2 linked regions of the Caenorhabditis elegans genome follow. The protein of the gene in region 2 purifies or fractionates together with the protein of the main gene of each other region. This does not show direct contact. Each region holds a gene or a part of one and is shown on either strand. Other genes may lie near its edges.

Evidence for each region.
Region 1: the proteins of C18A3.3 (region 2) and haao-1 fractionate together in Caenorhabditis elegans (co-fractionation; one large-scale study listed by BioGRID). This does not show direct contact.

What each region holds. Positions count from the first base shown.
Region 1 is NC_003283.11:9,501,177-9,509,238, forward strand, and holds haao-1 (3-hydroxyanthranilate 3,4-dioxygenase), read left to right. Parts: upstream 1-3,733; 5' UTR 3,734-3,834; intron 3,835-4,428; 5' UTR 4,429-4,512; coding exon 4,513-4,756; intron 4,757-5,019; coding exon 5,020-5,250; intron 5,251-5,292; coding exon 5,293-5,407; intron 5,408-5,458; coding exon 5,459-5,573; intron 5,574-5,621; coding exon 5,622-5,707; intron 5,708-5,752; coding exon 5,753-5,807; 3' UTR 5,808-5,942; downstream 5,943-8,062. Other genes in the region: swt-5 (Sugar transporter SWEET), read left to right, coding at 226-350, 598-675, 1,970-2,093, 2,144-2,236, 2,295-2,357, 2,473-2,592, 3,149-3,265; acs-14 (4-coumarate--CoA ligase), read left to right, coding at 6,958-7,167, 7,284-7,395, 7,449-7,776, 8,010-8,062. UniProt on the Caenorhabditis elegans protein: Catalyzes the oxidative ring opening of 3-hydroxyanthranilate to 2-amino-3-carboxymuconate semialdehyde, which spontaneously cyclizes to quinolinate.
Region 2 is NC_003280.10:5,713,103-5,720,314, reverse strand, and holds C18A3.3 (putative rRNA-processing protein EBP2 homolog), read right to left. Parts: upstream 4,009-7,212; coding exon 3,937-4,008; intron 3,894-3,936; coding exon 3,783-3,893; intron 3,732-3,782; coding exon 3,517-3,731; intron 3,468-3,516; coding exon 3,245-3,467; intron 2,895-3,244; coding exon 2,587-2,894; intron 2,540-2,586; coding exon 2,446-2,539; 3' UTR 2,277-2,445; downstream 1-2,276. Other genes in the region: damt-1 (DNA N6-methyl methyltransferase), read right to left, coding at 1-152; zipt-3 (Zinc/iron permease), read right to left, coding at 462-599, 677-832, 886-1,200, 1,582-1,653, 1,708-2,017, 2,070-2,170; C18A3.10 (uncharacterized protein), read left to right, coding at 4,715-4,770, 4,814-4,962, 5,010-5,020; lelo-4 (Late ELOngation arrest), read right to left, coding at 4,065-4,233, 5,192-5,391; Cytotoxic granule-associated RNA binding protein tiar-1, read left to right, coding at 5,510-5,652, 5,725-5,821, 6,158-6,253, 6,461-6,881, 6,960-7,144, 7,191-7,212. UniProt on the Caenorhabditis elegans protein: Required for the processing of the 27S pre-rRNA.

The sequences.
Region 1 (8,062 bases), on a different chromosome or scaffold from region 2:
AGCCAACATCTAACAGTCCGTCTTCTTCCCATTTGACTGGCGGCTAAGTATTCAGATGCAAAGCCGAGATATGGGGCGTCAAAAAGAAAAGAATAAGCCTTCGATTGCAGAAGTACATAGCCTTTTTCCATGCATTTCATTATGTTTCTTTTTCTCATGTTTCAATTCAATTATTGATTATTCCCTTTCCAATTATTTGAAATATTTAACTAAAATTATTTTAGAATGGAGATCGACTTGGGTACGGTCTCTGCCTCTCGGCTCTTTGCCATGTATACATCAAATCTTGTCTGGTCATTATTTCTAACCTCTACAGCTCTTCATGCAGTTGCTTTAATTACTAGTCCAGTGTAAGTAACTTTTTTTCTAGATATAATCTTGGCAGATTGTCGAAACTGTCCTATAAACTTTATTCACTTCCGTGGGAGGCAGATTAAATGTGGTTAAAATTAGCTGGGAACAAAAGAAAAACGTCGAATATCAATAACAAATGTGTTTCGAAAAGTCCACAATATCTATTTTACATTCAAAATATAATTTTATCTTAACAAAACTGGTAAATTTAAAAGAAAATAGTTAAAAGTATTTAAATTTCAGTCAAGCTGTTCATAAATGGGTACGAAGGCAAAGCAGTGACAGTGATACTCCCATTCCATACATTTGTGCAGTTATTGGGTAAGAGTTTGCCCTAAACATTTATTTATTATTATTTAAAGGAAAATTAAGTATATTCTAAAGAAAAAAAAAACAAAAAAGTTGGACAAGAATGTGAAATCTAACTCTACAGAAAAAAACAGTTTTCCAACTCGTGCTAGTCTCCCAGTCTGATTTTATTTATTTTTACCAGAATATGAAACCAATCAGTGCTCACTTAGTTTTTTGGTATTCAAGTAATTTTTCGAAATGTATTTTAATACACTTCTGACACCACGAATGTATCAAAATATATGTTTTTGGTTACTTAAATAAGGCAAAATGTGTGTACTTAAATACACTTTTTAGTTTTCCGACTTTTTACTTTGTACGTTGTTTATTTTTTGTGATATTCCAGTACTTCGAACTTGACAAAATCTAAAAAAGTGGTACGACTGCACACGTTTTTGAGTTGTGTTCATAGGATATAAATAAAAAACAACAAAGAAATGCTCATAGTTGTACAAAGTTCAACTTAAGTTGTAGTTGTACTAGTAACTTGTCTAATTCTCACCATTTTACTTTACCACCTTCACCGCAATCAAGATCAGTTTTTCTTTGAAATATGAGATGTCCTTCATGAATTTTCTTAGAAGATCATGAGTAGTTTGGCAGCGTAAACAATATGAAAAATTCCCTTCACCTCTATCAGATTTGCATTTACGTAAAGAAATACGGTTTTGGTAGATACCATCTTTTGCCATCTAGCTTCCATTTATTGCATCTAATAAAAAACAATTTTGAAGTGAAACGTTACTTTATTTCTTCATTAACTTTCTCAAGCTTATTTGGAAATTGTCGATCCATCTCCATCTTCAGCTCTCATGTTTTCTTATATCATTCATTACACTCTTTAAGCCTTGTTCCAACAGAACTATAACGTTTCAAACCTACACTTTTCAATAGAATAATTGTCACTCTGCCAATTTCGTAGCTTGTAGCTTGGGCATTAAATAACGAACATTTGGGAAACTTTTTTTGAATTCGCAGTCGACATCTATCAAGATCCTATATAGGCCAATCACGTCCCAAATATATCATATTGTGTTTCTCTTAAATATGAAGTACTGTATCGAGAGAGCATTTGCTCCATGAATACTGCAATATGGCATAGTCGGATCACCGTTTCAAAGCCAGGGCACAATTTTTTCTGCCTCTCTTTTTATTCCGACTCTCCGATATTGCAGTATTCAGTTCACAAAATAAACTGGATTACTGTAATGGTTCTGTAATTGCTGCTATAATAAAACTGTACAACGAATTCCAAAAGTTTCAGGTCTGCACTATGGCTTCGGTATTCAATATTTCTTCGGGACACAAAGCTTATCCTTTTGCAGACATATGCAGTTTCAATGCAACTATTCTTCGTGATTGCACTCATTTTCTACCGTACCAAAAGAGTATTTATATTTGGATCTTGTTCTTTTTAAATATTTGTTTTTAATTTCAGCGAAAGTTAATTCGTCTAATGACTGGAATTGCAGCTGCTCTGTCTTTACTCTTCTTGTACATTGGTAATATGAATGATGAAGACGGGAAAGAAGTGAGTGTCTGCGTCCCTTTTTCTTATATACACTCTCATTTCTCTATGTCTCTTTCAGTTCACTGGCCGCATCGCATCTGGCGCTCAAATTGCTGGGTCTCTGGTCTGTCCGTATCTAATAGTAAGTACTAGTTACCCGTTTAGCCGTCGGGGGTATAGCTCAGGGGTAGAGCGCTCGCTTCGCATGCGAGAAGTCTGGGGTTCAATTCCCCATACCTCCAAATTTCATTTTGCAGTACAAAGCAGTAACATCGAAATGTATAGATTTTGTACCCCTGGCTCCAGTGGTCTTCACGTGGGTAATGGAGCTCCACGCGATCGTTTATAGTATTGGTATTGATGATTTTTACATGCTGGTTTGTTCGGAATTTTTTAACTGTTATCAAATCAAAGGGTCACATTTTCGACGTGGCCTAGAAAGATCTAAAACTCGGTCGGCGGTTTATCTTTAATTTTCACAGGTTCTTTCTGAACACTCTGAAGATTGAGAGTAATGTACTTAAAATAGTTTTTCTATTGGTTTTTCGGAGAAGATTTCTTGAGATAGTTCTTAATAACGTGGCACCAGGCTGACCCATTACGGTTTGATCTACAAAAAATGCGGGAAATTTTTTGCCCAAAAAAATGTGACGTCAGCACGCTCTTAACCATGCTAAATCAGTAGAGAAGTCAGCGTCTAATTTCCCGCAATTCTCGTAGATCTACGTTGATCAAACCGACATGGGACAGCCTGACACCACGTGTAAATTCAACTTTTTGAAAGTGACCGAGTTTTCTCAGTTTCTAGGCCACGCTTCATTCTTGAAAATTCGTTGCTTTTAGATGTAAAACACTAACTTCAAGTATGTGGACAATTTTTTGCACCAATAAATGTGTTAAGATAATCCTAAATTCAATTTTACAACTTTTCAGTTAGCCAACGTGATCTTCTTCTGTATGGATGGTTCACTTCTCTCGATGTTCTTCGTGTATCCAACGGAAAAAAAGAAGAAAAATTTGAAATCGTCACCAATTCCAACAGTCATGTAACCCAGAATGCTTCGTGTTTTGGTCAAAGCATCTCAGGTTTTCTATCAATTTTCTCTCCAACACCAATTTAATGTTGCTTCTCTCTCCTCCTCCCACTCCCAATTCTCAATTTTTCGAAATAAACGGGTACCAGTTCCTTAAGACGGTCAAACATTTATCATTAATCAAGAATTGAAAAGCGACACTTGAATCAGCGAAGAATAAGCAAATCACGGAGATTTAGATACGAGAATAAGAAAAATGTAAAAAAGACACAAAAAACGGAAATAAGAAGAAGAAGATGGGCGAAATTAAGAAGATGTGACATTGCACGTTTATCATTTCGTCGCGTTAATCGGACATTAACACCGCTTTGTCTCAACCACATACAATTTTTTGAAAAATTTCGGTTTTTTGTGGGTGATTTAGTCTATGTTACTGTAATCGAATTGACAAATTCTTCGATCGTCTATGACTTTAGCTTTATAATTTAGGTTAGAAAAAGAGAAGTTTCGGAGATGGAATGTGTCAACTTATGTTCCAAAAAACCCAATAAACTGCAATATTTATATGAGAAATATAAACTGAAGGTAAGAAGAATGGCAGGTTATATTATTAATTGGTGTATATGAAAGAAGGTCATTCGTTTATTATATTATCTATTCTTAATCTCTTTTATTACATCCAAACCTTTTAGAGACTCTCTGAACATTCTATTGAATTCGAAATTTTCATCTGGGGATTACTGTACTTAGCTCATAATCGTATCAATTCCTGAACACACTCACTGCCGTTCTCAAAATTATGTAAATTTTCATATTCTCTTTATGGCATCTGAGGATTATTTTTATGGCTTAAAATCAATTTTTGGCAACTTGACTACTTACAAAATGTGTTCTCATGCATAACTTTGTAATAGGTGGGTACGAATGCTTTGTTCCTTTGAACTTCAAAGCGTTCCCAAGAACGCCTTGTATTGGTATTTCTCGACGATTTATTGTCCGTTTCTCGTTTCTTGTGATAATTATAGAGGTCAAAATGTCACTTTTACTTGCCATTCATATATTCCAGTCTTTTTTCAATTTCAACCCGATCTCTCAGTTCTCTACCAATTCGTCTTGAGCTAATTCCCTTGTCAATCGATGAGTTGCTTCACCTCCACTAAATTATTCATTTCGCATCAGGAGCAAGTAGTCTGTACGACTTCCGTTTCTACCGAAGAGCAACAGAAGCCTCAACTCAAACTGGCAGAACCACCTGTGATAACAATGAGCGGAGTTACTGCAATTGAGATTCCACAATGGATTCAAGATAATCAAGAGGATTTTGTACCACCTGTTTGTAACAAGTGTATGTTCTCGGATCAGTTGAAAGTTTTCTACGTTGGAGGACCAAATCAAAGAAAAGATTTTCATTTGGAAGAAGGAGAAGAGTTTTTCTTCCAGAGAAAAGGGGATATGGTACTGAAAGTGATTGAAAAGGGTCAAGTCCGTGATCTAGTAATCAAGCAAGGTAGGATTCATCACAAAATTTATTTTTGAATTTGTAAATTAATTAATTAATAACACAAACTCACATGGTTTCTTAGATAACTTTTTAACTAGCTTTTTAAATTAAAATTCCATGAACAAAAAATTTAGACTGAAAATTGAGAATTTTTCACAATTTATAAACGGAAACTAAATCTGTGTTGTCAAAAATTTTTTGGAATTATTTTTTTCACAAATGTTAGATAATCTGAATCAAAACTCAAAATTGAGCTCTCTATTTTTCAGGGGAAATGTTCATGTTGCCAGCAAGAGTAGAACATTCACCTCAAAGATTTTCCAACTCTATTGGTCTTGTCGTTGAACGTGAACGAAAGAATACTGAATTTGATTGTGTTCGATTTCTTGTTGGTTCTTCCAATATCACACTCTTTGAAAGATGGTTCTATTTGACTGATGTTGTCAAGGATTTACCTCCATTAATCAAAGAATTTTATGGATCGAATGAATTCAAAACTGGTTGGTTTGTAGTTGTGTGAGCTCACCGATTTTTTGTTTCAGGTAAACCAGGAAAAGGAACATTTGCATGCAATGCTCCATACGAAGCAAGATGGACTGATTTACCCGTACCTATTAATAGAAAAGAATTTATCTATGATCATATCAGTGAAGTGAAGTAAGAAATTAGTTGGTTTTGTTTCGGATAGTTAATTTGAGAAGTTTTCAGAAACGGACCAGTGAGAATTTATGGAGCACCTGAGTACAAAACTGAAGTTATGTTGCTAGGAGAGGGATCTTATGATTTGGAAAGTGGAACTGTAGAGTTGCTAATTTGGTTGCAGGTATGGCAAAAACAGAAAAATCCCAAAAAAAATTCATGTATCATTTAGGAAAACACATTTGCGGTCGTAGAAGAGAGCGGGTTCACTTATGCAATGAAATCGGAGACCATGGTTAGGATAAAACCGAACACAAAGTAAGAATACGGAATTATAGGTTCTTTGAAATAATTTTGTTTTAGGTGTCTTCTTAATGTCAAAGGAGGATTTGCTATCACCATCAGAATGCCAGCATAATTTTTTTTTTCAATTTTGTAAAAGTCAATTTCCATATAGGCTGATTGAATGAATGCTTTTTTCAATATTTCTATCTTTATTCCAAAATGTAATTTCAATTTTGATTTATAACAAAATGAATGACATGCAATCGTGGCCAACTGATAACATCAATTCCGTTTCATTATCATCGATGTCAAATGTCTCGTGTAACACACGCTGTCGGTTCAGCAAAACCATCATGTTCTTCAAAGCTTCAGAAAATTTGTACTTTCAGACCTCGTTGTTCGTTTCAGGAAATTATGTCACTGTAAAAACTGTAAAATTGGTTAAAAATACAAAGAATCCAATTTTTGTTTTGTAGTTAGTTTACATAACTATTTTTAGTATGATTTCTATTTCATTAGAAAAAAAAACGTTAACTCATTCCGAAAATTTTTTAGCAGAAAAATAATAAATGCCTTTTAGCCGTAATTTTCAAAGGGGTTGTTTTTAAATTTGATGGGGAAGATTGAAAATAATAACTTAAAATAACTTCTCGGTTGGAAAAAAACTATAATTTAGAAAATGTTCACAATACCTCATTTTTTACTGTCAAATCGTCACGAGAACTTTGATTGTTGAAATTTGGCCAGTACTTCCTTGTTTTGAGCATCTTTTTAATATGATCAATGACGTACAATCCAAGTTTCAGATCTTTAAAAACATCTGATTACGATTACAGATCTTTTATTTTATTGTTCATAGCCCATTTTTCGTTTTGCAACCCTTATCATTAATATGCCCTTTTTGTGTACATTTATTCTTTTTCTTTCGTTGTCTTCATTGAGTATTAACTGAAATTGTCTAGGATTATGAGCATCGGAAACTGAAATGATAAGTATTTCCCGCGCTCATGTGGTTTTTTTTTTAATTTTCTAACGGTTTTTCCTCAACAGTTGAATCAATGTTATAAATTGCCAAAAAACAAAGACTACAATAAATGGACCACATTATAACGTCTAAGCACTGTAGTTTTCCTATTTACTATTATCAACTGTCGTCTTTATCAGTCTCTATCTTTTTCTAAATTGACCTTCGGCCACACTGTAGGCTACCCATGCTGTCCTCTTGCCCAGTTCTTATATTTTGATTGTTATTGCTAAATTCATTTATTTTTCAAACTTCAGCCATGCCACACGACTCTACATATCCACCAGTGAAGATTTCCGAGCGTCCGTACCATGAGATGCTCCTTGATGCAATTGATAAAACAATTGCCGATGGAAAGAATAAAATTGCATTTGTGAGCGGAGATAATCCAAAACATTTCATTACTTTTGAACAACTTCGTAAGGATGCTTTTGCTGTCGCTATGTATCTTCATAGCATTGGGTTCAAGGTATGTGGCATTATGTTAAAAATTTGGGAATTTTATAATTCAACAAGAGAAAGGAAGTATTTCAAAAATCTTTCAATTTGTTCAAGACAATGCCTTAAATTTTTGATATCTTTTAGAAAGATGTTGCTGCTGTTGTTCTTCCAAACGTCTGGCACTATACTTCATTTTTCATTGGATGTGCCATCAACGGTGGAGCTGTATCTGGAGCTAGTGCACTTTTCACTGACTGTAAGTTAAATTGATGAAAGTTACTTTCACCAACCCGCAATTTCTGTTTTCAGATGAGCTTCAACGTCAATTTGTTGATTCTCGCGCAAAGGTTGTTTTTACTTACGAAGATTTTCTTCCAAAAGTTCTTCTTGCTGTGAAGCAATCGCCAAACATCCAAAAGATCATTGTCATCCCAAAACCAGTTGGATCTTCTCTTCCAGCAGGAGTTGTATCTTGGAATGAAGTGGTTTCAACTCCAGTCACTGCTCTACCACAAGTTCCAATTGATGTTCACAATGATTTACTCGTTCTTCCATACTCGAGTGGTACCACTGGACCACCAAAGGGTGTTATGCTATCACACTACAATTTTACATCCATGATCTCCATGTATCTTGCGTAAGTTTGAAATTTAAAGATGATGATGATGAGACAGAATAGGTGTGAAAGTACAAAGTTAACAGTAAAATGGTTACACTTTAACCTTCCTATGACGCAAAAAAAGATAAGGGCCAAGAAAACAATTTCATAGATCAATACAGAAGAATCAGTATAACGTTATGTACATTTTTTGAAAAGTAATTGAAAAAAAACGAAAATATAATTAGGTTCATATACGACACAACTTTCAGAATTGATAAATCACACATTTTGGATGTTCTTGATCCAAATTGGGACTGCTACA
Region 2 (7,212 bases):
GAAATTCCGCGACGCTTGATGGCTTCGAATTGCGAATCGGGCATAAATTTTGAGCTGATCTCATATAATTCTGAGCGAGTTTTCAGATTTAGTTCTTTGAAGACTGAATCGTAGTATTTCTCTTCATCAAGAATCGCAAATTCTGTGTCCATGTGAACTATTGACATCTAAAACCTCATGTTCTGCCAAAAAAAAGCTCATTAACAGGTGATGAATGTATTTCCCAAAGACCCAGAATCTGTAGACATACTGAAAGGGAATTCGAAAAATGCAAATTTTTATTATTTAAAAAAAAAGACCGAGATCAGAACGATGAATTTCAAAATTATGCATCAATGGATTGGGGGAACTTTGGGGAGAATGCTCACAACACATGAATTAAAGTGACTACAATTGAAGAAATGATGAATAAATATGAACAAAAAAGATAATAATTGAAAATAAGATAAATTAAGATGAGCTCAATGGTGCTCACCAATGAGTGATTTTATAATTACAAATATTCCGATTCCAGCGGCCACGAATAGCGACTTGACGAGTGAAATCCAATGAGAAGAAGAATGATTTGAGTGTGAATGAGTTGTGTCAGCAATAACATTCTGAAAATTGGGAAATCAGTTTTTGAAATAATAGTTTTTGAAATAATTGAAATAATAAAATATTAAAAAAAACTAACATGACTATGTCCATGACCTCCTTCTCCGCTGTCATCTGAATGCAACTCCATTGGAAGAAGCTCAACAAGAGCCACGTGTACAAAAGTTCCTGCTGCTAATCCTTCAAGCCAATATCTTCCAATTCTTTGCCACATGTCGTTTTCGATTCCGTCAATCTAAACTTTTCAAATTTAAAATTTAGAAAATATCGAGTTGATAAAAAATATACCGTTGTAGCGAGAATCATTCCAGCTGGAATTGTAGCTGACAAGAAGATTGATGAAGTCCATGCATACTTTCTTGAAGCATTATGCTTTGCCAGTTGAACTCCATACGAGACACAACACAGCACTTCATGAAAAAGGACGGCAATCAAAATCTGCCAAAACGCGTTTGAATCATTCTGAACGCCGAGAGCAACTCCTTCGAAGAATGAATGAACTGACATTCCAAGAAGAAGAAACCAGACACGAATGTTCATTGATCCACCGGGGGCAGTTCGACAATGTCCTGATGAAGGTGCATGGTGATGAGGGCTCGTGTTCTACAAACGTTACAAATGAAATTTGAAGAAATAATGCTTCTTGGTGTTTTTTTTACTGTACTCAAAATGACACAAAAATGCATTTTTCAAAATATTTTCCAATTTCAGCTAAAACCTCTTTTCCGTGTCATAGTGGATGGCAATTGATATTTATTTAGTTTTTGTTCTACTATGTAATTTTTTTTCCTTGATCCACGATAATGATATGCAAAACAGAACAATATTTTTTTTATAAAAACAATTTCCGTTTGCTACAACACGGAAAATTTGGCAAAGCTTAAGATTTTTTCTAAAATTAGGCTCTTTTGACCATTTTTGAGGTTTGAGTAGAATAAAGCAAATATAACTTTTGATCGATTTTCTTATTTTTAAGGTATGTACCTGTCGGAAAATAATTTCATCTGCATCATCATCCATTGCAACAAGTGGAACGTGATCCTCTCCTTCTTCCTCCTGAAAACTTTTTTTAAATATTAAACCCGGGAAATTCAAAAAACAAAAGCTTACATCGTGGAACTTGTTCATTTTAATTGAATCACTTGTTGCCAGTGGGCTGTGTCCTGAATGTGAATGGCCATTTCCGATTGAATGTCCGATTCCGTGAATGATTTGCTCAGTTATCAAAATTATCAGGAATCCAATAATAACTAATTGATCAGTCGATGGAATCCATCCATAACTATCAACTATCGTCTGATTCCCTCTTAAATGCATTTCTTGATGTCTGACATGAGGGACAAGTCCGAGGAAACACGTGGCAATGAAGACACCGCATGAAGCACATCCCAGGAATGAGATTGATGTTTTTGAAGCGTTTCTGAAAAAAAAAATTTCTAGTTTTCATTTGTTATTTTGGAATTTAAACTGACACACAACATGTCCTTAGAAAAGTGTACGGTATCGATGTTGAGATCAGAAGAAGAATGAAAACAGCAAAAGCTGATGTTGTCATAAACAAAAATTGTTCCATTTTTAGTGCATTTTCTGAAAAATCTGCTTAGCGATTTTGATTTGGTTGGACTTTTTAAAAAATACAAGATCGATTAAAAAACGATTTGGAAGTTATTCAATGCTTGCAACAACAAATTATTTTATTGGACATTACTAAAATCAGAAGATCAACAATAAAAATGGGATAACTGTAAGAACAAAATTTTGAAAATCGAAATCCATAACAAGGAAAAATCAACAATGATGTAACAAAAGTTCATAAATTGTAAATATAAAAATAGGCTTAACGTTTGCTTAACGTCTTCCGCGTCCACCGCGTCCTCCTCGTCCACCACCACGACCACGTCCACCGAATCCTCCGCGTGGAGCTCCGAACAGATCATTGAAGCTGAAAAAAATAAAATAATTTCAGGAAAGACCGATGAAGCTTCTTACCTCTCCTTGTTGTTTCTCTTCATTCCCTTCTTCTTTCCTCCATAACCGAATTTATCCGATTTCAGTTTTCTTTTGAGTTCTCCTGCGTTTCTCATCGATCCTCCTCTTCCAGCTCCACCTCTTCCGGCACCACCTCTTCCTCCTAGACGGTCACCGAATGCTCCAGTCGGTGCGTCATCATCCTGATCAAGACCATGTCTTTTCACGTTGTTCAGCATATCTTCCAATTGTTGTTTCATTCCCTTTTTGTGCTTCTTCACAGCTTCTGCGAGGTTCTTTTTCTCTGTATTCTTGGCAGCGAGAACTTCCTGAAAAAAATGATATTCATGTTCAACGATTTTATTTTTGTAAATTCTACAAAACGAATCAGAGTAAATAGCATGTTTTACCAATATTTTAAATTTAAATTTAGTGATGGAAAATAGAAAAAATGTTTTATCTGGAAATAGATTTTTATTTCAGTTTGAAACAATTGCGAAGTGCTCAAAAACTGTATCAAAGTTGGATATTGCTGCAAAAAAATTTTATCCTGCAACTTTCAACTTGCAAACATTTTTGAGTGTTTGTCCAATCGAACCATTAGAAATTAAAGTTATTTTTCCGTTATTTTAATTAATTTTTAGGCTGAAATTTTTCTGGTTTTTTGAACAACCATTACCTTCTGAACCTTAACAGCAAACTTTTTCTCTTCACGAATACGGCGGAATGCTTCTTGTCGTTCCTTCATTTCTTGAATTCCGAGAAGTCTCTTGCGAACTTTCTGCATATGAGTGTCACTCTTTGCCATCTCTGCATAGTAATCTGTTGGTCGCAGAACTTTGATACCAAGATTCAGAAGACGTGGATAGGCGATTTGAACAGCTTTTTCAGCTTGCTTATAGCTTTAAAAAATTAGAATTTTCGAAATTATACAACCCTCGTGCAACTTACAAATTCAACTCTCTTTGGAAGTCGTCATTTTCCACTTTCTTGTCCATTTCAGAATGAGGAGTTACCACTTCAAGAGTCTCAACCCATGGAAGATCTTTTGTGATTTCAGCCAATTTTTCTTTCATTTCAGCACTTTTGTTGATGATCGGACGCTTTTTGGCTACTTGAATGTTGAGTCCATCTTTAAGAAGACCAGCAGCGAATGCGGCTTGGAGCTGCAATCAGTTTTTTTTTTTGAAAATACTTTTTAAAAAAGTAATTCTCACCTCTCTTTCATCGTCATCGCCGTCTGATTCAACCTCTTCGATATCCATCGCTTCCATTGGTTTTTCCTCGATAGCATTATCGAAGTCAAATTCGGATCCGTCGGAATCGCTCTGAAATTTTGAATTATTTTTTAAAACAAAGTATTTTCCTCACTTCTGGTTCCGGTTGACGACTTTTTGAAGTGCTGGCGAGCCGCTTGGCGAGCTTATTCATTTTACGAACCATCTGAAATCGATAATCAATAAATCCATTAAAAATTAGAAAAACACAATTATAAAATATTAAAAACGCTGAAAACGTTTTCTTTTGAAGATCGAAGAATAGTAAAAAATTAACAAATTATTATTACAAACATTCACAAGAACAAGAAAAATATAATACATGAAAACAAAAAAATTATTAACAATTATTATTGCACATCGAATCGAGCACCAATGAGAAGACGGCTGGCTGAAAGTTTTTAAATAATTAGCTTGCACTAAAAAATTAACAAAATAAATAGTATTTTAATACATGAAACTTTGACAAGAAACATTTTATATCGGTAATGTGTCTTCCCAAAAAACAGCCAATAAATTCTTGGCCGAACTGCGGCGCATTGAAATTTCTCTTCCACAAAAGATTTCTCGTTCATAATGCTGCGTCCAAACCCGAAAAAATCTCAAATGTTCTTCATTTTTTTAAATTGAACTGATAATTGAAGAGAAAAACGATTATCGGAAGCAGCATAAAGATATATTGACCCGAAAATTTACGAAGAGACCCCCAGAAAACATTATTTAGATTGAATTTTCTCTTTGAACAAACACATGAATAGGTTTTTAGTCTATCAATTGATAAGAGTCGGAGTGCAATGGTATGTGCGATGTGACTCATTTTTCTTCGATTTTTTGTACAATAAGAAACAATTTTTCAGAAAAATTTAATGAAAATGAATAAGTCTAAAGATCGAACACCTACAGTATCCACGATTGAGAGCTATGGAACGTAAGTTTTAGAATCAAATTTCTATGATATCTGTACTTTACAGAGATATGCCGCATGAGCATTATCGTTACTATAGAGAAAAAAATATATGTGGCATTTCTGGACCAATATGCTTTTGTTCAACTCTGATCTTAGTGGGATTTTTGATTTTGCTAGGAATTTTGGCGATAGTTATATTTTTCATACTTCATCGTGAGTACTAGACGTCCAGTTCTTAATATTAAGCATGTTCTTTACAGATACGTTATGAAACGAGTGGTCAGCTTCTCACTATCAACGACAAAATTATATTTCTTACTATTCTAAACCCTAAAAATGGATTTTCAACGTTTATACATGAATGAAAACATATTTTACGCCTATTGTTTGATTGGAATGAATTCTAAATTGATTTGATGTTTTAAAACTTTAAAATACTCACCATTTTTGCGGAGGAACGGGCTGAAACTTAAAATTATTTGCAGAAATTCGAAACTGAAAACTCTGTTTTGAATTGCCGCTTGAGTAAGATCCGCAGGGTGACACGCAGCGCACTGACCGCAACGCTCTAGACGACACTTGCGAGCATAGTTTTGAATGTGAACGCAGCGTTCCCGCACTGTTTTTATTGGTTTTTTGCATGTTTCTTTGTTTTTTTAAGTATTTATTAAACGTTTATCTCTCTTTACGATATTACGACATAAATTATTTTCTATCTTCTTATTCGTTTTCTTTTTTACAGGGATCTATCATTTAAGCCATGTCCTTCTTCAACCCACCAGCAAACTCCAACCATGGTTACAATGACGACGTCAATACTGGTTACAATGCCCGAATGCATTCAAAACTCGCCGAAAGAGAGGGATTTCATCTCGGAAACGGTTCAGATGAACCAAGAACTTTGTAAGTTGGGTACATTGGAAAGTTTCGAATTTCTTGTTGAAAATTGTCAATTAATTTACTCTTTTGTTGCAGGTATGTTGGAAATCTTGATTCGACAGTCACTGAGGACTTTATAGCGACTTTGTTCAATCAAATAGGATCGGTTACAAAGACCAAAGTTATTTTCGACGTAAGTTTTTCGCTTTGGAACAAGACTAATCTTTACAGAAAACTCTTGCTTGCTCGCGGTACGTATGATTTTTATCCGCTTTTATTTTTACTTTTAAATGTGAATCTTTTTGATTATGATGTTTTCTAATTTCACAGGAATTGGGGTACCTGGCTACAAATGCACAAGGCGGCAACCAATCCACACCGACACTGAGACAGTGTATACCTTTTTCTTTTGAATTTTTTGTTGTTTTAATTAAGTACTAAGAGGAAAACATGCGTTTTGAATAGATTTTCATAGAGATTGAGAGAAAACCCGGGAAATCAAAGTATTAGTCAAACGTTTTCATTTCAGGGTTCTAATGATCCATATGCGTTCGTTGAGTTCTCTGATCATGGACAGGCTTCCCAAGCTCTTCAGACGATGAACAAGCGACTTCTTCTTGATAGAGTATGTTTTATTTGAAACGACAAATTAACTCCTGTATAAAAAACAAAATTTCGATATGATTCCACTGGGTTCCGATGTAAAATTTGTATTTTTTTAAGTGTTAGCAATATAGTTTATTTGCTTAAAAAATTAAATTTCGTTTATGTGTCATAAATAAAAAAAAGTAAATGTGAAAACCTATTTCAAAATCAAATTTGTTATTTTCAGGAGATGAAAGTCAACTGGGCCGTGGAGCCGGGGCAGCAGCAGTCAAAAATTGACACTACCAGACATTTCCACGTTTTTGTTGGAGATCTCTCGTCCGAAGTTGATAACCAAAAACTGCGCGAAGCTTTCCAACCATTTGGAGATGTTTCGGACGCCAAAGTGATCCGTGACACTAACACCACTAAGTCAAAGGGTTATGGTTTCGTTTCATACCCGAAAAGAGAAGAAGCTGAGCGTGCTATTGAGCAAATGAATGGACAATGGCTCGGAAGAAGAACTATCCGTACCAATTGGGCTACAAGAAAGCCAGGAGATCAAGAGAAACCAAGCCATTATAATGAAAAGTCATACGATGAGATCTACAATCAAACTTCTGGAGATAACACTTCAGTCTACGTCGGAAACATTGCTTCACTTACTGGTAAGTCAACAAAAATTTAATATTTTATAATACTTTCATTGAAAAATTCTAACGTCGAATTTATAATGTTTTTTGCAGAAGATGAAATCCGCCAAGGATTCGCCAGCTTTGGACGAATTACCGAAGTCCGCATTTTCAAGATGCAAGGATATGCATTTGTGAAGTTTGACAACAAAGATGCCGCTGCAAAGGCTATTGTCCAGATGAACAACCAAGATGTCGGAGGACAGCTTGTTAGATGTAGCTGGGGAAAAACTGGAGACGTAAGCGTTTTGATTAATTTTTTTAGTAAGGAAAATCTTATTTCAGACTGGAAAAACTCCTGGAGGAT